Astyanax mexicanus: one gene and its partner. The protein of the gene in region 2 purifies or fractionates together with the protein of the main gene of each other region. This does not show direct contact. Links are inferred from orthologs where the notes say so. Each region holds a gene or a part of one and is shown on either strand. Other genes may lie near its edges.

Evidence for each region.
Region 1: the proteins of Na(+)/H(+) exchange regulatory cofactor NHE-RF2 (region 2) and prkd1 purify together in Homo sapiens (affinity purification with mass spectrometry; 3 studies listed by BioGRID and IntAct, with this or other methods). This does not show direct contact. The link is inferred for Astyanax mexicanus from reciprocal best matches to the Homo sapiens genes NHERF2 and PRKD1.

Annotation. Positions count from the first base shown.
Region 1 is NC_064421.1:45,646,688-45,656,980, reverse strand, and holds the start of prkd1 (serine/threonine-protein kinase D1), read right to left. Parts: upstream 7,092-10,293; 5' UTR 6,734-7,091; coding exon 6,569-6,733; intron 1-6,568.
Region 2 is NC_064426.1:39,177,381-39,187,673, reverse strand, and holds the start of Na(+)/H(+) exchange regulatory cofactor NHE-RF2, read right to left. Parts: upstream 6,310-10,293; 5' UTR 5,810-6,309; coding exon 5,603-5,809; intron 1-5,602. Other genes in the region: tspan35 (tetraspanin 35), read right to left, coding at 9,774-9,827.

The DNA of each region.
Region 1 (10,293 bases), on a different chromosome or scaffold from region 2:
AAAAAAATTATGCGTGGTCATTATTTTTACTTATTCAGAAGTGGGAATTCGATCCTTTGGCATGGCCACAACTTATTAAGATGTGGGAATGAGATCTTAAGGCGTGGCCACGATTCATTAAGACTTGGGAACTAGGGGTAGGCGAAAACGATACTCTAGGCAATATAACAAAACATTGAATTGAAGAAATTATTTCAAGAATAAACTACTGCCACAAAATTAAAATGTGCTGTGTTTCTTCCCCACTCTTTTTTTAGAGAGAACCTCAAATTTGTCAGAGTGCCCCATCCTATGGATATTTTAAATGCACAATTGATTAATTGAGCTATTTTGGCCCTTTCATTAGCTAGAAACAGAACAGAAATCCAGCATGTCTGAAACGCCATATTTATTTAATACTAGAGGTGGGCGATATGGCTCTAAAATAATATCACGATATTTCAGGGTATTTTTGCGATAACGATATACTTGGCGATATAGGAAAACAGAAAAATAATTTGTTAATTTCAGGAATATAGTATAATAGTATAACAGTATATACATAATGTGGCAAAATAAATAATATAGCATAAAATAATATAATGCAGCAAAAATGCACATTTATTTAGAGCATGCATATAAACTGCAAACTAAAACAATTATAAAATAAATACACCTAAAGCTTCACAGTAAATAATAGACTACTTTTAAGACAGAACAGCCCTATTATCACGATATGGATTTTTAATATCATGATATTTCTGTGTCACGATATATTGTATACGATATAATATTGCCCACCCCTATTTAATATTATTGTTCATTTGGAGATACTGTTAAAATGTTTTAATACTGCAGTAGCTTTTTTTAACTGTGTAAATGGTGCGCAGGCTACAGTACGATATACTCACCTCTGAGCGGTGCTAGCCAGGGTTAGCAGCAGGTTATCGGCTGATAATACTCATCTCTAAAGAGCAAAAGAGCTAGCACATAGTGCCGTTAGCGGTTAATGCTAATACTGCTTCAGCCTCAGTACTGGAGAATTAAACTGAAACTCCTGTATAACTCTGTACTTCAGCAGAGTGGCTTTACTGCTCCTTAATACCTGACTGGTAAAATTCATACACAAGGAGCACCGTTTTATAAGGCGCACTGACGATATTTGTAAAAATGAAAGGTTTTTAAGTGAACCTCATAGTGCACAAAAACAATGTATCACAAACAAAAACGAGACTATAATTGTGATCTTGATATTTTGCCTCACCCCTAATTTTTTTCTCCAACAGAGTAAAGAAATCTGAATTAGCAAGTTTCTATTGAATAAAACATTTCACATAAACTTGAATATTTATGTTATATTATCATTGAATTATTTAAAAACAAATTACATTAACAGACTTTCCACATGGCTGTGGTCCACAGTGAAAAGACAGAAACCAGTGACTGTGACTTTCCATCGGAAAGAACACATTCATGTACAGTCTTTATAGCTCGAGAGGAAAAACAATTAATGCACAAACACACACACACACACACACACATTCTCGCACACTGACAAAGAAACACCATTTTCAGAGTCTCTCCGTACAGCACTGTCGCCATCATTTTCATGCACACATATCAACATCTCACATCTGACTATTTAAAGTGATAAGAGCTCTGAGCACTTATACTCCCAGGGCCATCAGAATCTGAGAATGTGTCTGCGAGGTGTTAAAGGAGTTAAGGTTAAATCTGTTGTTCTTACCCCCTCTGCTTTTCTATTTTCAATATATTAAACACATCCTTCTATTTTTCCAAAACACAAGCTGACAGCCTCACGCCTGTTAAAAAAAAGGTGTTCCTTATTCAGCTTTGGATTATTATGCTTATCAAAATACTGAGCCGCGATCTAACACGTACACTTCTAAAAACAGACTGTAAATTTCTTTAAACTGTGAGCAAATAAGTTCGGAATAATAACAGCGTTTAAGCATAACACAGCAGAAGTAAAGAGAAAATATAAAGACTTCAGTGTCGTCACATAAAGGCTTTGAACAAAATGGATCCCTACTCCTCCAAAAGTATTGCGCTATAAAGGGAAGGACTGTTTAGTTTACTAACTAATGGCAGAAACCCACATACATTTGGACATTTGCTTTATCATTAACACACATCAACAATGGTCATATAAACCAACATGTGATTGGCTGAGACATGTTTAAAACTAATATTAAGTTGTTTGTGAAATAATCTTTGAAATTTCATTTATATTTTTTATTACCTTTATTTATTTTTTATTATCTTTATTAATAGAGCCTGTTAGAGAACTTCATGATATCTCGCTAACCTTAGCAAACAACTTATTTACCTTATATACCACCTTAAATGCACAACACCAGCAGTTTCAAAACATGCCTCAGTACATGTGCTTTTTACTTCCTCAGTGTTACTAGAGCCTGATAGAGTAGTTAAACAACAACTCATTTATTTTATACTCATTCTAAAATTTTCAGTTGTTCATGAAATAATCTTTGACCTTTTATTTATAATAAAAAATATTAAAAAAAATATTACAATGTGTTTTTTCGCAGTTGTCCTTAATTTTAATTATCAGTTTATATAACAAATTTAAATATTACTTAAACTTAACTGTGGTTTATTACATCTGATATCAATTTTTCTAGCCTAACCAGGCATGATTACTGCCACACCTGTTCTCAATCAACAAATCACTTAAATAGTACCTGCTTGACAGGTGAAGTAGAAGTGAAGTTGATGAAAATATACTCAAATGCTAGATATCATGCTAATATCCAAAGAAATACAGAAATAAAAACAAAAAAACAAAAAACAAAAAATGAGATCTCTTAGTCTGGAAAATGTTACAAAGCCATTTCTAAGCCATCATACACAAATGGAAAAAACGTGAAAAGTTGTGAACCCTCCTAGGAGTGATTGGCAAACCAAAATTATCCCAAAAGCACAGTGACGATCCATCCAAAAGGTCACAAAAGACCCCACATCAACATCCAAAGAACTGCAGGCTTTACTAGCCTCTGCTAATGTCAGAGATCATGACTTCACCATAAGAAAAAGACTGGGCAAAAATGGCCTGCATGGCAGACTGCTAATATATAAACCACTGCTGAGCAAAAAGAACATTTAGGCTCAAGGCAATTTTGCCAGAAAACAATTTGTTGATCGGCAAAACGTTTGGGAAATTACTCTGTGTCCCATTACATCTGGCTTAAAAGTAACACTGCATTTCAGAAAAAGAAACACCTACAGTAAAACATGGTGGTGGTAGTATGATGGTCTGGGACTGTTTTGCTGCTTCAGGACCTGGAAGACTTGCTGTGATAAACAGAACCATGTATTCCACTGTCTACCAAAAAGTTCTGAGGGAGAATATCCGGCCATATGTTTGTGACCTCAAGCTGAAAGAGCTTGGGTTCTCCAGCAGGACAATGACCCAGAACACACCACATCTGAATGGCTAAAGTGGCCTAGTCGAAGTCCTTCCCTAAATCTGATTTATATCCTTTGGTATGACCTTAAAAAGGCGGTTTATGCTTAAAACTTCCCCAATGTGGCCCCAGAGATGAGTATGCCAAAATTCTTCTACAGTTATACTTTTTAGTGGCAAAAACTTTTACACAGGGATTTTTTTCCCCTTAATTATAAAAACTTAGTTTAAAAACTGCATTTTGTGTTTACTTGTGTTGTCGTTGATTGATATTTAAATTTGCATTACCACAATATGTGTCTTAAATTTGGTTCATAGTAGCATCTTTTTATAAAGCAGGATATTTTGTTTTTATGTTTTTGGCATTATATTTAACATACTGTATATTGTGGCATTATAATGAGCTGATGCCGTCTTATTGGCACAAGCAGCTGATCCTGACCCTGAAGGCCTTTGCTGGAAAGTTATTATCAGTCCAGTTTTAGTATTTTCTCACAAATGAACAAAGCAAAAATTTTGCATATTCACACAGATATTAGGCATGAAGTCAATAGACTTTGCAGAGATAGGATGTGCACCAAAACATTAATGTCTATCACATCCACAGGGTCTTAATTTGGCCTTGCCTACAACAAAATAAAACAGTGCTTACATTTCCAACGACACAAAACATGGAACACTGCCAGCAGGAGATAAACAACAATGCTGGGAAATCTCAAGCCAACTGTAGCCAACTGTCCTTTAACGTTGTTTTTATTTCCACTAAAGGTTGGTCGAAAACTTGAAAAAACTTTTAAGTTGCATTTCTTTCAATTAATTGTGAATTAATTGTGTGATATGTGTTATATTATGGTAACACATCATAATGTAGTTCTGATGTTAAAATTAAGCTGCATCCAATTACACACACTAATAACATTGGGTGTATAGTACTTACTAGTCATAATAGAGTGGGTTTTTTACCAATGAAATGCTGTGTGTCATGATCAGAACATCTATAGAACCTGTTGGATCAAGTCAATGGCAACCTAAATCATATGATAAAAGAATTGCCTCCGTTTTTTTTCTCGTGCACATGTTAACAACTTACATAAACTTGGAGGATGGAAATCCCTCTACTAAACTAGAACACAGAGATTAGATAGAACTTGAATGTGATTACTTGTATACACTTTATTCATCTACGTCACCATCGTCTACCAAAACGAGGATGTGGGGTATGGAAGTAGCATTGGAAAACTGGGTACTAGCAATGCTAACTCACTGCTGCGTTCCCAAATAACGTACACTTCTTCAAAAATAAATAAATCTTATAAAGTTCAAATCTTCCATAATTCCTCAAAACATCCTGTACTTTACCCTGAATGGATTCACAAAATCAGTAGAGATTGCCATTTTAATTTAAGTATGTACGATACTATGCTAGCTATCTAGCTAAGCTAGCCATTTTGGTATTACCCAGCTAGCCAATCTAGCCAGATGAATGTTAGCAGAGAGACAACAGGCTAGCTAAACCTGGGTCTCTAGCTTTGATTGATGAACCCTGAACTGGTCATTTGGCAATGGTTAATTTCAAGTGTGTGAGGTTAGTTGTCCACACAGGCGCTGCCATTTAAACTGAAGGATATTCTGCCTGTTCCCTCACTGCCTTGGAGTTTCCAGTTTAGAAGAGTACCCCGTCTCATTTTTCATTTCAACATGAGCGTAGAGTAAATAAGGTGCATGGTATGTCTTTGAAAGATGAAAAAAGATAATTGGTAGAGAACAACTCAATACTTTGAACAACTTTAACACAAGTTAAAAAGGGAGGCATAATTTTAATTGCTGGCTAATCTCGGCATCCATAACCACAAAAAAATGTCTATCAGCTCCAGACGGTCTTACCTAGTTACTTTTTGATGCAAAACCTGCAACACTGATAGGACAAATTTAAAGAGTAAAAAAGAGAATTCTGAAGCCAACAGAGCTGAGCACAGTGTCCTTCAGAGTACTTTCTTTTCTGTACAGTCTGTACAGAGTGTATTCAGGCTTTATGCTTGGGTGAGTGCACTTGAGAGACATAGGGAGACATACAGCTTTTACCTTTTTACCAGCAGAATGGAAAGAAATGATGGAGGCCTAGCTTCTTTTTAACTTTTCTACTGTTATTTGACTTTTCCGCCCACCTGACCTTCTGCATGCTTGAAATGTAAATAGATTTGTACTACTAGTTAACTAACTAGAAGAGTCTTGTGACCTGGGGTTTCATGGAATTTTATGGAAGAGGGAAACACTGGGTTACTGAGTCACAGGAGAGGACAGTGTAGTGTGTGTGTGTGTGTGTGTGTGTGTGTGTGTTTGCCAGTAACACTGCAGGCCAGCCTCTCCTGAAACAGCACTTCAGTGGTCGCACGTCAGAACGTGTCGTCAGCAGTCAGCAGTGACTTTACAGGCTGAAGTGTTGATGCCAGTTTTGCATTCAGATACAGTAAGACCACTTGTTAGAAGCTCTAAACTCGCCAGCTTCCTTCCAGCATCAACTTAAACTCTCTGTTTATATGTTTAAAATGTTTGTTGGGTCTTTCGGTAAGTAGAAAACACAGGACACAGCCTCAGTTCAGTGAAGTTAGTTACCTAGCTAACAAGCTAACGCTAGTTAACTAGCTAACTAGTTAGCCTGGCGTTACCTTGGTTACCACATATTGGTCAAAATAAGTAGTTAGCTAGTTAGCTAACTAGTAGCCTAGCCTTCACTGTAAGTTATACAGTGATACAGTTCACGTATAACTTAGATAACCTAGTTAGCTAACTAACCTAGCCAGTTTTATCGTTTAAAATGTTTCAAACTCACAAGTAAACCCATATACCGGCTTTTTTTACTTTCTGACCTAAAGAACAGCGCTGTGTCTAACTAAACCCTCTTCAGCACCTCAGCGGAGACCCCGCTTTCCCATGGCGGTTCTAACGTTGCTAACGTTAGTTAACGACGAGTAAAACGCAATAGAAAAGTTCGTTTAACATTTTCTATCCGCACTTATTTACTTATCATTCGCTCCACACTTTATCTAAGCTAGCTCACTAGCTAAGCTACTTCCCAAGCGCACCGAGGAACCCAGCGCACATGCGGTGTGAGGAGAGTAACGTTACCCGGTGAGTTTTTACCTTCTGGTCCACGATGGAGCACGCCATTTCTCGGACCTGCGCTAGACTGAAGTCCCCCGAGTCCAGCAGCACCGGCTCCCGGCTCAGCCCGATCTGGATGTGGAAGGAAACGCCCTGGGAGCCCGGGACGGGGCTGGGCGCCCGGATCACCGGAGGGACACTCATGAGAATCCCCGAGCGGTCACGGCTGGACAGCGGCTGGTCAGTCTGCTCTCAGTCTCGGTCAAACGCGCTCCGCTTCTCGGAGGAAAATAATAAATACAAACTTCGACTCGCCCCCCCTCCAAAAAAACAGAAACACACAGCACAGTGTCTGTCCTAGAGGTAAAACGACGCGGGGAAATATATTATAGCTAATAAACCTGACCGCATTTAGAAGCTGTGAAACGCAAAGCGCTTTTTTGGTCATTGAGAAGCGATGCTGATGGAGCCATAGACGTCAGATATGTTTAATGTTGGGCTCTGATAGACACCGCCTCCTGCCTGTTCCGGTTATCAGAGCGAGGTGCCTAACGCTGAGATTTATCTGCCTGGGCTTTAGAACTGTTACTCAGATGTCTGTCCATTAAAGTATTAACAGTATTAAAGTATTTAGAGCTTCTTTTCATTTCTATCTATTTTACCGGAATGATTTGCTTGCTTTAAACGCTACTGATTTAAAGCCTGTTTATTATTTTAACAGTTATACATGCAGACTCAAAAGAACGCACACAGTAAAGTTATTCAGACTGTGAAATAAGTAGTAAGTAAGTAAGTAAAATAAAAAGTCAGCTTAAGTTTGATTAATTAATAAACTGAACTGTTAGTAGACTTATAAAGTGGGAAAATATTTTTAGTAGGAATTCAATTGTTTGACTGATGCCCTAACAGGTGTCATTGTAAAGAGATAATAAGTTATTCACTTTGGAGGTGTTAATGTTATGGCTGTTCAGTGTTTAATATACCACATACACAGTCCCATATTAACTGTGGGTACATTAACTACCAAACACAGTCCCATATTATATAACACACGTTCACTGCAATGACGGGACAGTGTTTTTAGTAAAATGGGACTGTGCTTTTTAATGTAGTTAATATTGGACTATGTATTTGAAATACATCATGACAGTGACAGTGTGTTTGATAATATGCGATGGTCTTTGGCAACATAGCCACAGTGTATTTTAAATATATAACAAACACACTGTCCCAAATTACCAAAATGCACTGCCATTTAACCATACAAAACGTCCCATATTAACAAACACAGTACCATCATGATGGGACAGTGTATTTGGTAACATAGGACTGTATTTGGTAGCCACAGTTTTTATTTATTTTGTATTTTATATATAACAAACACACTGTCCCATATTATCAAACACACTGCTCCATATTACTGCACAATACACTGTCCCATATTACCAGAAATAAACTGTCCTATGCTACCAAACACTGTCCCATATTACTACACAATACAGTGTCTATATTACCAAAATGCACCGTCCTATACTACCAAACTCATTGTCCCATATTATCAAACACAGTCCCATATTACCAAAACATACAGTCCCATATTACCAAAACACACAGTCCCATATTACCAAACACACTTTCCTGTATTACTAAACAATACATTGTCTCATAGTAGCAAATATACTTATATATTATCATATAACACACAGTCCCACTCTAACATTTTAATTCTAGTTATGCATTGCATGACAGCATCCACTTGGCAAGTTGTATATTTGACCTGATTTCTGGACAAGGTTGCTGTAAATCCTGTATATGTTTATTAATGTAGACATGTATGGCTTTCAGAGAAGCCTATAATAAGTTGTTACAGATTGTGAGGTAGTAATAAAAGACACTGTATACTTATTTTTTTACAGTTTCACTTCTAGTTTGATTATTCTGTAAACTGGAAAAAGGAAATACTGAAAGTAGGCCTTATAAGGAATAACAATTAAACCAGACTAAACAAAGTGCATCAGTGGGCCTTGGGCACCCATATCCTGTCACTGGTTCACAGGTTGCCCTTCCTTTTTTTGGTAGGTAGTGACATCTGCATAGCAGGAACATCCCACATGACCTGCAAGTTCTCTATCAAAGTGTTTCTATCCATCACAGTTTAAGCCTGATCAGACTTGTTTAGATTCTAAAATGTGCCATTTTCTTTCTTCTACCACATCAACAACTGACTGTTCTATTGCTGCCTAATTTTAGCACCTTAGCATCCACCTAGCAACAACTTAACAAACACTTCAGATATCAGAGCATCCATTAAGAAACACCACAGAAACCAATTTGGATACCTTAACAACCATCTCTCATGATACTGTAGTAACCAGTTAGTAACAGCATAGCAACCACTAAGCAATACAACCAGTTACCACCCCTGTAACTACGCAACCATCCTGCACAAGTGCAACGTATCAGTAAAAGTTTTACCTCATAGAATTTGAGTTTTTTTTTATCTCATCTTTATTTCATAATGTATCATATTCTGTTATCATTCTGTTATCTCGCTACCTGTCTGTCTGTCTGTTCCTTTGTCTGTCTGTCTTTGTAGAGATACCAATTTATACTACTTTTGGAAATTCCCAAATACCATAATTCTTCTCAGCAGCATATGGTAAGGCTTAGGGTTTATAAGGTCATTTTTTTTAGCCATTTTATCACTTTTTCTGTATGATTTGTACTAAGACATTTGCAGGTATTGAGGACTATGTTTAATTGGATGTGTATTCATTTACATTTTTATTACTTTACCTATTTATGTGTATTTAATGATTTTTTAAGAAATGTAATATAAATATATCATATATCAGACGAACACAGTAATATTTGAGACGTTAAAAATAACTTTATAGCTCTTTGACCCTTGATCTACATGCACAGGTGAATTCAATCATGTGAAAGGGTTAAGGTGGCCAAATGCAATTTGTCTCCTCTTTGCAAAATCCTCTGTTTTCTCCTCTGTTCAAAATCTACCAAGGCATTCATGCAGAGTAACAAGTACAACGTTCTGGAATGGCCATCTGAAACCTGACTGAACTGGAGATGTTTTGTAAAGATGAATGGTCTAAAATGCTTCCAACCGGAAGACAGACTCTCATTGGAAGCTATAGGAAGTGTTTAAAGGCTGTTATTTTTGCAAAAGGAGGATCTACTAAATATTGATGTAATTTATGCACCTGCCTAATTTGGTTTTAAGAATTATTGCACACTGTCTTTAAAGCATATGAACTTCATTTCACTTCTCATATATCACAGTCTTTGTCTGCTATATGATATATTTAACTGAAATTGTTGATATGAACAACCAATGATTTATAAAGGAAAATCATTAAAACTATCAGGGGTGCCCAAACTTTTTCATATCACTGTATGTCTGCACCAGATTCTAAGGGTACATGGTCTAAATAATTTAGCAGATTTATTGGACGTGTCTGTGATTGGAACTCAATCCATTTTTGTAGAGCTGGCTGTTTTAGCTGGCTGTAGTAAACTGTGTTTTTTGCAGCCGTATATTAATTGACGGAGGAGTAATGAGGGGAAATCTCAGCGTGAGTTAGCTTGCTATAAATTGAGCTATTTTTCCCTCAGGCTGAACCGAGTGCCCCATTACAGCAAGTGGCTTTTATTTGAATTGCAACTTTACATATTAAGATGTAAATAACTCAGTTTGACCAGGCTCGAGTGGGCCAACTGTGCTCCTGCGTCAGCATGTGTGCCGG
Region 2 (10,293 bases):
TTAATGTTCCTTTTAATCTGGTGGACCGTATAGTCAAAGAAATACGGTAACCATAGAATATTTTAGACACAGACTAGCTAAAGTAACTAGCTATGCTAACCCATCATCTCAACAGGGCTATATAACATTGTTTACAGCTAATTACTGCATAGCTAAGTAGATTTTAAAAACAGCACAAAAAGATCTGAATGATGTGGAGCACCATATAACTTACAGCATCAGTAAAAAGTTTGGACACGCCCTAAATTCAGTGGTTTTTAAACCTTTTATAATGTGCTGCGTTGTAGATTAATATTAATATATATATATATAAAAGTCATCCAAACTATGAAGAAAAAAAATCAGAATTTTCTTGCTTAGATTAGACAGTTTTGCACATCTCTGCTGGATTTTCTCAGTCAGCTTTATGAAGTAGAGTCACCTGAAATTCAGGTTTTCAGTTATCAAGAGTTAATAACTTGAATTCCTTGTCTCTTAATGTGTTTGAGAGCATTGGTTGTAAAGTTGTGAAGAGGTAGAGTTACAGGTATACAGTGAAAAAATGACTTTAAGAAGCAATGAAGGTCAGTTAATCTAAAACAGTTCAAGCACTTTAAAAGTATCCTCAAGTGCACTCCCAAAGACCATCAAAAATGCTATAATGAAGGAACTGGCACTCATCAGGACTCCTGATGAGTCCTGATAATTAAATTAAAAACTTCCACCCAAACATCCAAACTTCTTTTTATCTCTACTAAACCTTAGCCTAAAAGCTAACCTATAAGATCCTCACAAGCCGTTTCTCTCGTTTAGGATGTTCTGGTGTTTGTTCCTCTTCACAAAACGGTAAAAGCAGACTTTTTTTCAGTACACACTTCCAGAAAACATTCTTCATTCATTAAGCCACTCACTCCAATGGTTGTGACGCTGAGAGACTTATGCTGCATTAGTATAATGCTGGAAAAGCTGCAGCTCTGTAATGCGGCCTCGGCCTCGGCCTGCACAGCTATTGGATGCAGCGCTGCTGCTTCTGAACGAGCGCCAGCATACATTCAGACTGGAATTCAGATCATTACCAGCTTATTTCGGATGTCAGATTCCATTCAACCAGACAAAAACATGGACTAACTGAGGAGCCTAAAGAATACTGCAATGTATTTGAATGTCTGTTCTAGATAGATAGATAGATAGATAGATAATCTATATATATATAAGGGCATAAAAAACTTTCTATACAAGATAAAAATCTATCTGTAAACAGAGCAGTGCAGTACATGTTGTTAATAGTCATTAAATAATTAACAGAGCAAAGTGCAAGGTGCAATGACATTGATATAAAAGTCACTGATGTGCCATATGAATATAAATATAAAAATACATAAATATAAATATGCATACATAACAAATATAGTTCTGAAAAGTGAATATGTGAAAACCCAATCATGAGTAAAGTGTACTTGAATGTAAGTGAGGTTGGGCAAGTGATAGTGTAAAGAATTAAGAATTAAGTAGTTGAATAATGTCCATGTGGTGGGACTGGGTTAAATATAAATACAGGAAAACAAAGATTGGATTAGTGTTTCAGAATCACTGATAAAATTTAATAAAGGCATTATAAACAGATTATAGCATTTGATGAAATAAATACACAAAAACTCAAATTTTAGGCTTGTTATGGCTACTGCACCTGCGCTGATCTCCACCACCACCATCCCACCTGCTTGCTACGTTCACCCTCCTCCACTCACTGTGCAAGCATTCACCGTGCAATCTGATTGGCTGTTTTTGCTTAAGGGCGGGACTATATCCTTGAATGGGTGCAAAGATTAACGCTATAAGAGTAGTTTGTGGCATGTCTCCTTAATAATAAGGTACATACTAGTGCTGCACAATCTTGGAAAACTTTTAGATTGCAAATGTTCATTTTTTGACAATATTTATCGCAATATAAAACAATGCAGGGCCCATAATGTCACCAGCCCCAGACCAATCAAGAGCTGAGTCAGTGCCGAGCTCTCAAAACAAGAGGAAAACAGCAAAACAACAGTAACCGGCCCTTTAATTAGGCATTTAAATGGCTTTTTAAAAGGTAAATAAGAGCGTTTTTCTGGGATTAAAAGGGTGAATTCAGCTGTAACTGAAAATGTGCTGGACTGAGGTGCACAGCTTTCCACACGTGCTCACGTTTTTAAGCATGTGCCCAACCATGTGGATGGAGGCCATGCGGTTACCTCGTCTTTACTCATGCCTCCCTCTACCCTCGAGCTCCCCCTCCCCCTTGTGCTTCTCAGGCAGCAGCAGCCTGTCACTCACACAGACACAGAGACAGCGCTGTGTATCTACTTCTTGTGTCAAGAATCAAAACATTGCAACATGACGTGTTTAATTAAATTGCCTTAAGTCTTGCGATGTGACTATTGTGACTATTGCGCATGCACACATCACCATGACGATGTTTAAAGTATATATTCTGCTACATTAATGTTTAATTTGTCAAATTTAACTCCTTTAAACACGGCAGACCCTTAAAAATTCACTAACAAACAGCCTGGAACAAGTGCTAGTTATGTGTTTATCCTCTTTAAGTTCAAATATTTTCAATAATTATAAATCTGTAATATTTCTCATACTGTATTCTTTATTCTAACATCAATAAAGGCCTGTTCAGTACAGCGGCCATCAACAGAGCACTCGTCTCTAAGCATGCATCAGAAAAAGAGCCTTTGAATTGCATTCAAGCTCTCGGTCCTCACTGCCGTATTGTGTTTGGGATGAAAAAGGGCCAGATGTCCCAAACAGTCAATCAAACAGACAGACCCACACATGCACAGAGCTCTGAAACGAGCCGCGAGCCCAGACAGCCAGATTCTCTTCACTCAGCCAGCCAGTGCTTTCCTGATTAACTATCTCAGCCTTTATTTACATCATCTGTTTATGAAGCTGAATTTAGCTGAAGTTGCAGATCCACAGAGCCACATTATCATCACCACAACAAGCACACGCTACTGATCCACCTGATTCACCACTTCCACCACCAGTGCAGGTACCAGATCTGTCTACAGTCACGTGATTTTGGAGAAAGTCGGGTCCATTCACAAAATAAGACTCTCTGGAGAAACGATCCAGCATAAAAACATAAAAACATGGAAACATGGCTGGTCTGTAATGTTAAAGCCACTGGCTGAGTCTCAAGCAGGTCCCTGTTGGGAGTGTAGTGCACTATTTGCATGCAGAAGCCATTATTGTTTCTAGAGCGCACTACATAAGGAGTACAGAAGGAGCCACTTGAGGCTGGGTCAGTGTTGATGTTGGATGAGGGGTAATGCTGACTCGGCCTGTGATGGGGATGCTGGTGGAAGCATTAGCTGATTGTATTGTGTCTGTAAAGCTGCCAGACATGTACACTGCTATGATTTTCCAGTTTTGGGGAGCCTGTGCCAAATTCTGCCTCCGGCATAGTTTAATACCCTGCTAAAAAAATCCAGCTCAATGGTAAAGCTGGTTAAATCAGGTTAATCAGTAAAAAACAAATAGTTCACCAGCATTTCACTGGTGCAGTTCATGTATCATGCATGTTGTCATGCTTGTCAACCAGCTTGTTTAGGCTAATTATGGTCAACTAGGGGTGGGAGAATATATTGATTTTGGGATGTATCTGAAGAGTTTCAATCTATCTATCATATCGTATCGATTTGTGGTGTCAAATATCAATATTTTTCCTGAAACATAGGCTGCTTCACTGCTTTACGTGGTATTGCTAATCAAATTAATAGGGTAAACCTGCACTGAAGAATAACATTACATTTAATTACATTTGGCAGATGCTTTTGTCCAAAGCGACAATAGTCAAGTACAAAATTAATAGAAGTTTAAAGGTAAAACATCTTTAGACAGGGCCTAAAGGAGGTCGAAGGAAAATAAAGGGATAGAGAAGTGAAGGAGGGGAAGAGGAAAATGAAGTTAGAAGTAGTTAGTGTGTTAGAGGTGTTAGGAGAGTAAGTGCTCTTTGAAGAGCTCTGTCTTCAGGAGTTTATTAAAGATAGTGAGAGATTCTCCTGATCTGGTAGTAGAAGGTAGTTAGTTAGAGGTGCTAGGAGAGTAAGTGCTCTTTGAAGAGCTCAGTCTTCATGAGTTTATTAAAGATAGCGAGAGATTCTCCTGATCTGGTAGTAGAAGGTAGTTAGTTAGAGGTGTTAGGAGAGTAAGTGCTCTTTGAAGAGCTCTGTCTTCAGGAGTTTATTAAAGATAGTGAGAGATTCTCCTGATCTGGTAGTGGAAGGTAGTTTGTTCCACCATTGGGGAACTCTGTATGAGAACAGTCTGGATTGCTTTGTGTGAGTGTTTGGCAAAGCGAGGCGACGTTCATTAGAGGAGCGCAGCGGCCGGGAGGTAGTGTAAGCCTTCAGGAGTGATCAGTGCAGTTAGGAAGGAGCCCAGTGAGGTATGTTCTGAATATGGGTTGTAAAACTCTGTGATACTGAAACTTCTTGGTATTTGATTACATAGGAGTATTTTATCATATTGTATCGTAGAGAATTGTCTTGTGATATATTGAGTATCACAGAATCACAGTATCATAATATCATCGTAATTGTGGGCAACATATTTTACTTGGCTTGGTCAGGCTTGGTCATACGACCGGTCAAATCGATCATGTGTCCAGTCAAAAAGACATCATTACACAGTGTTTGTATGAAATAAAAAAAATAAAGTATAAAGGGGAGACAAAATACACATAATGCTGATACTGAGTCTAGTTTTAGTAGTTTTATATAAAGTTTGAGGACAACTGGTTTTAAAATTTCTAACATTTGCCAAACAACTATGGCGTGTCTCCATGTATAGGCTGTTGGATGACCTAACCAAGCTTTTATGTTGTTGTTATTGTGTTATCTTGCTTACTAACTAACTAAGCTAGACCCTACCAGAGCTTGTTTTAAGGTTGCTTTTCCATCATCCACCTTAAAAGATCTAGTGACATTATACATATATATTATATAGCCTAGCTATACTAAAACTTCTAAGTATCTAAGTATTAAAAGTATCTTATCTACAGACTTACTTACTTTAGACCCTACCAGAGTTGGTTAACTGATAATGCATATAAGGCAATGTTAAATAATAAGGGTTGTTTTAAGGTTGTTTTTCCATCATCAACCTTAAATGCAGCCCTAAAAGATGTGGTGAATGTTCTTTGCTATTAGGGTAGTAGCTTATCTACAGCTCTGGAAAAAATTAAGAGAGCACTTAAAAATTATGAGTTTCTTCAAATTTTACCAAATTTGAAAACCACTGGAATATAATCAAGAGAAAGATGGATGATCACAAGCCATCAAACCAAACTGAACTGCTTGAATTTTTGCACCAGTAGTGAAAGCATAAAGTTATCCAAAAGCAGTATGAAAGACTGGTGGAGGAGAACATGATGCCAAGATGCATGAAAACTTTATGAATATGAACTTGTTTTCTTTGCAATATATATTTTTTGTTATTTCAGCCATTTCTCATTATCTGGAAAGACATGCTCTAATTGACAATATTTTTATTTGGAATTTGGGAGAAATGCAGATTAACTGGTTCAGAAACTGTATTAGACCCTACCAGAGTTGGTTTAACTGCTCACCTGATGGTGGGTCTCTCTCTCCACGTTCTCTCCGTTCACCTCCACCACCCGGTCCCCGGCCCGGAGCCCCGAAGCCTCGGCGGGGGAGGCGGGCTCGACCTTGCGGATGTACTGGCCGCTCTTGCCCTTCTCTCCGTGCAGGTGGAAGCCGTAGCCCTGCTCCCCCTTCGCCATGCAGCACAACCGCGGCTTCAGCTCGCTCGCCATGCCGGGGGGCGCGCACCATACACCGGCAGCCTACGCTCAGGACTCGGGCTTTAGCTCCAGAAGCTCCAGCGGTCAAAATCTCCAGCGGTAGCGGTCACCCTGTGCGCTCCAAGCGGCTAACCCCAAACTTCTGCCCCGCTGGAGAGTACGATAAGCCCGGGGAGATGCATCGCGCCATACGGAGCAAACCCGAGTTGAATCCGGATCGTTTGGTGTGTTCTGTTTAATCTTCAACGGTGAAACGAATTAAAGAGATCCGGATTATTGTAGATATTCCAGATTACAGACTGGATCACTTGTAGAGCATCCTGGAGGAGAAAAAAAAGTAGTGCGCAACAGGCGCGTTATCCACTATGTATCCATCTAACAACCCCAGAGCAGGCTTCGCTCCATTCTCGCCGGTGTGCGCGCGTGCGTGCGTGTGTTTCGATGTTTTCAGTGTGTGTGTGAGTGTGTGTGTGTGTGTGTTTCACAGTGTGTGTGTGTGTGTGTGCAGTGAAAGTACCGCTCCAGCTCTGGAGCTTTCTGGAGCTCTAGCACCGCCCTCTACCACACAGCCAGGCCCCCCTCACTGGGTTTGGATGTTTGCCCCTGTAAACTGGCTCTATCTCCCTGTTTTTACCCTTCTCCCTTTCTTTTTCTCTCTTTCTCTTTCTCTTTTTGTGACATTTAGAATAAGAAGTGTCAGATCTAACATTTCACTGCAGGGCATGAGAATAAACCAGCAGAGAGATCTGATCCGAGACACATTCTGTAAAACCAGAAGCTCTAAACAGCATTGTGTTGCACTGCTTAACCAGCACAGTGCAATGCTGCCCTCTTTTGGTTGAATAACCCCCTTCTTCTTTTTTTTAATATTTTTTGTAAATGTTTATTTAAAGCAGCACTAGGTAGGATTTCCTTGATTTTTGTTCTTTTTTAAGAAGTAAAATTACAGCTTGAAACTCACTGCAGCGCTGCATTGAGGTGTAATAGGAGAAATAGCGGTGCTCTCGTGTCTGTGCCGGAGCTCCTCTGAGCTCAAACCAGTAAGTTTTCCGAGGCGGCTGCGACCAACGCTCGCGAGAACTGTGACCTGCTTTCCGACCTTTAGTTCTAACAGTTCTACAAGGACTACTGGTTCATTCTTTACAAACTAACATACAGACACTCTGGCAGAAGCTGGAAAGAGACTAAATATGTCTGTGAAAGCTAGAAAACAAGAAAGAGAAACTAATCCGCCTGAAACATTTATTACACTCTACAACTGTAGGGGGAGCCCACAAGCACAAACTCTCAATCCTACCTAGTGGAGCTTTAATGTTTCGATGGACTATTTTTTAATTCTTTTTTATTCTTAAAGTTTCGGGTTAATACAAGAAACAACGATAGAAGACAGCATGAAAATATACAAAAGGGAGAAAAGGAAAGAAAGAGGGAAAAATATTATATATATAGTGAGAGTTCATCACAAATTCTTACACTTCTTTTACATTTCCCATTTTTAGACATTCTAAATTATTTTAAAAGTGAGGTAAAGTCTAGTAAAAAAATATCAAATTTTGGTATTGAGGACAAGTATTTACATCGGTGAATGTAGTATTTACTTAATAAAATAAAAATAATAATAATTGAATAATCCCCTTCACAACAACACAGGCCCAATTATATTTCTAATTTGTAGCTTGTTTTGACCCCCTTGGCCCAATTCCATCTCTGATTTGTGTGCTTGCCTACACCTTAGCCTAATCCCATTTCTATTTTTCAGTTTATCCCGACACTTTGGGCCAATCCAATTTCTAATTTTTACCCTTATCAACACCTTGGCCCAATCCCCTTTTTTTTTCAAAATTTTCCCATTTTCTCCCCAATTTTGCACAGCCAATTACCCAACCCACTTATTAGGACCCCCCCCCCTATCACCAGTGATACCCCAACACACCAGGAGGGTGAAGACTAGCACATGCCTCCTCCTATACATGTGAAGTTAGATTCCGCCTCGTTTTGAACTGCTGCTGATGTAGCATTACCGAGTAGCATCACAGCGCTAACGCTCGGAGGAAAACGCAGCGACTCGATTCTGATACATCAGCTCACAGACGCAGTTTGTGCCGATCTACATCACCCTAGAGGAGTGATGAGGGGAAAGAGCGCCATCTACTGTACCCACCCAGAGAGAGCAAGGCTAATTGTGCTCTCTCAAGGCTCCAGCAGCTGATGGCTCAATCCCATTTCTAATTTGTACTTCTACCTACACTTTGGCCCAATTCCAATTGTAATTTGTACCTTTTACTACACATTGGTCCAATCGCATTTCTTCCCTTGGGCTCAATCCCATTCCTAATGTGTAACCTGTCCCTACACCTTGGCCTAATCCCATTTCTGATTTGTACCATTACCTTCACTTTCGCCCAGTCCTATTTCTTATCTTTTTAGTCATGGTGAACATATTTATTGCTTTTTTATCTTTTAATATTTGTATTATTTATCTACTAGCTTTTTGTTTCTTATCCTATTTGATATTAGTACCAACTGATTGTAGAAACAAATAGTACTAATGTTATGGGTACCATATATATATATTTTGCCATAAGATGGCAGCACTGGCCTTAAAAAGCTCATTTATCTTTTCAAAATAATAAAAATATATTTGTATGACTGATATAAACTTCCTCCTGGACAACTTGAGCAAATAAATATTATATCATGTTTTTTATCAACATTTGAAGATACAAGTTCTGTATTGTAGATTAATACTGGAATTATTTATTAAACAAAAAGTGTTAAACAAACTAGAATATGTTTTTATTAGCTCCTCTTGTTTAGATAGAGACAGTGTTGCACATCTTGATGTTTATTTTCTCTGTGCTCATCAAGAGTTAATTACTTGAATTTCTTGTCTCTTAATAAAGTGTTTGAGAGCATCAGTTAAAGTAAAGTAGTGAAGAGGTAGAGTTACAGGTATACAGTGAATAGTGAATATTTGAGTAATGTTCTAATCCAGATTATGAGAAGCAACAACTACTCAACTAAGTGAAAATGATTTTAAGAAATGAAGATCACTCAATTCCTAAATTTCAAGAACTACAGTTACAAAGACCATCAAAATTTTATGATAAAACTGGCACTCATCAGGAATGAGTTCCCTGTGTTGTACAGAATAAGTTTATCAGAGTTTCCAGCCTCAGAAACCACAAGTTAACAGAGTATTTTGGTTTGTTTAACACTTTTAAGTTACTACATGATTCTTTATGTGTTCCTTCATAGTCAACATATTTAACCTACATTAGAAAAGCCTGGTAATGAAAGCAGAATAATGAAAACACACCACACACAAATAAGACATCTGGATTTTATTATTAATCAGGTTAAAAACATACACTGTTATCCAATTTAAATATTAAATATATATTTATGAATGTTTTTTAAAGAATTGCTGGGACAGTATATATTAAAATGGCCTAGTATGGCATAATGTATTTTATATAAATATAAAGCAAGCTCCATCTGCATTAAAAGTTCTTTGGCATTTTACTGAATGATTCTAGATAAAAACAACATTTTAATTTTATATGTATTAAAATAGACATATTAGTTACATTTACACTTGACTGCGCAGAAACATGGATCATACAAAGTTAATTCACAGGATTAATCACATTATTAACAGTGTACTGAATAATTTCAGGAAAATCCTTCATATGCCTTTACAAAACGTATCAAATTACTTCAAGTAAAAAAAACACAAAAAAAGATAAGTAATCCATTCATTAAATCAAAGTACCTAATTTAATGGATCACATTCTTAAATCAACATAAATGATACTTTAAACTAATCAAATCCTTCACATAATGTCACAATTGTACAAAAGGAAAACAAATGTATAAAATATATTAAAAATGTTACTTAAAATTAGTTTTGTCTGCATTGAATCTGCACATCTGAAATGTCTGGAAGCATCTTTTTCTCAGGATTTCCTCTGCATTATTTTCCCTTTATCTTGCAATACATGATCATGGAGATGGTCATGGCAGTGAGCTAAGGGGTAAAATGTAGAAAAGAGAAAAGTAATTAATTACCATCATTTTAAAACTGTGGAAAAACTGTAGAGTATATTAAATTGAGTCTTATTTTAGCAGGAAAATAAATCAGTGCATAGTGTTTATTAAGTGTATGAGGAAACTTGGACCCCTTGGAGCTGAAACACTGAAAGTGCTTTTCCAAAATGGAGTTAATTTCCGTATTTTTCGCACTATAAGGCGCAGCGTATTATAAGGCAAACGTTTATTTTCTGGTCTGTTTCCATACATAAGGCACATTTTATGCGACAATAGTAAGGAACAGGGGTGTTACCATGTTTTCCTTCTAATTCAGTAGGTCTCACTGCTGGGTGGCGAGACCTGTAAAGCTAAGCTAAGTGAGCCAAAACACATTTTCTTTTAAAGTTAAATTTCCACTGAAGGTGGAGCATTAGCATTAGAGGCTAATTGCTATCAATTAGCAG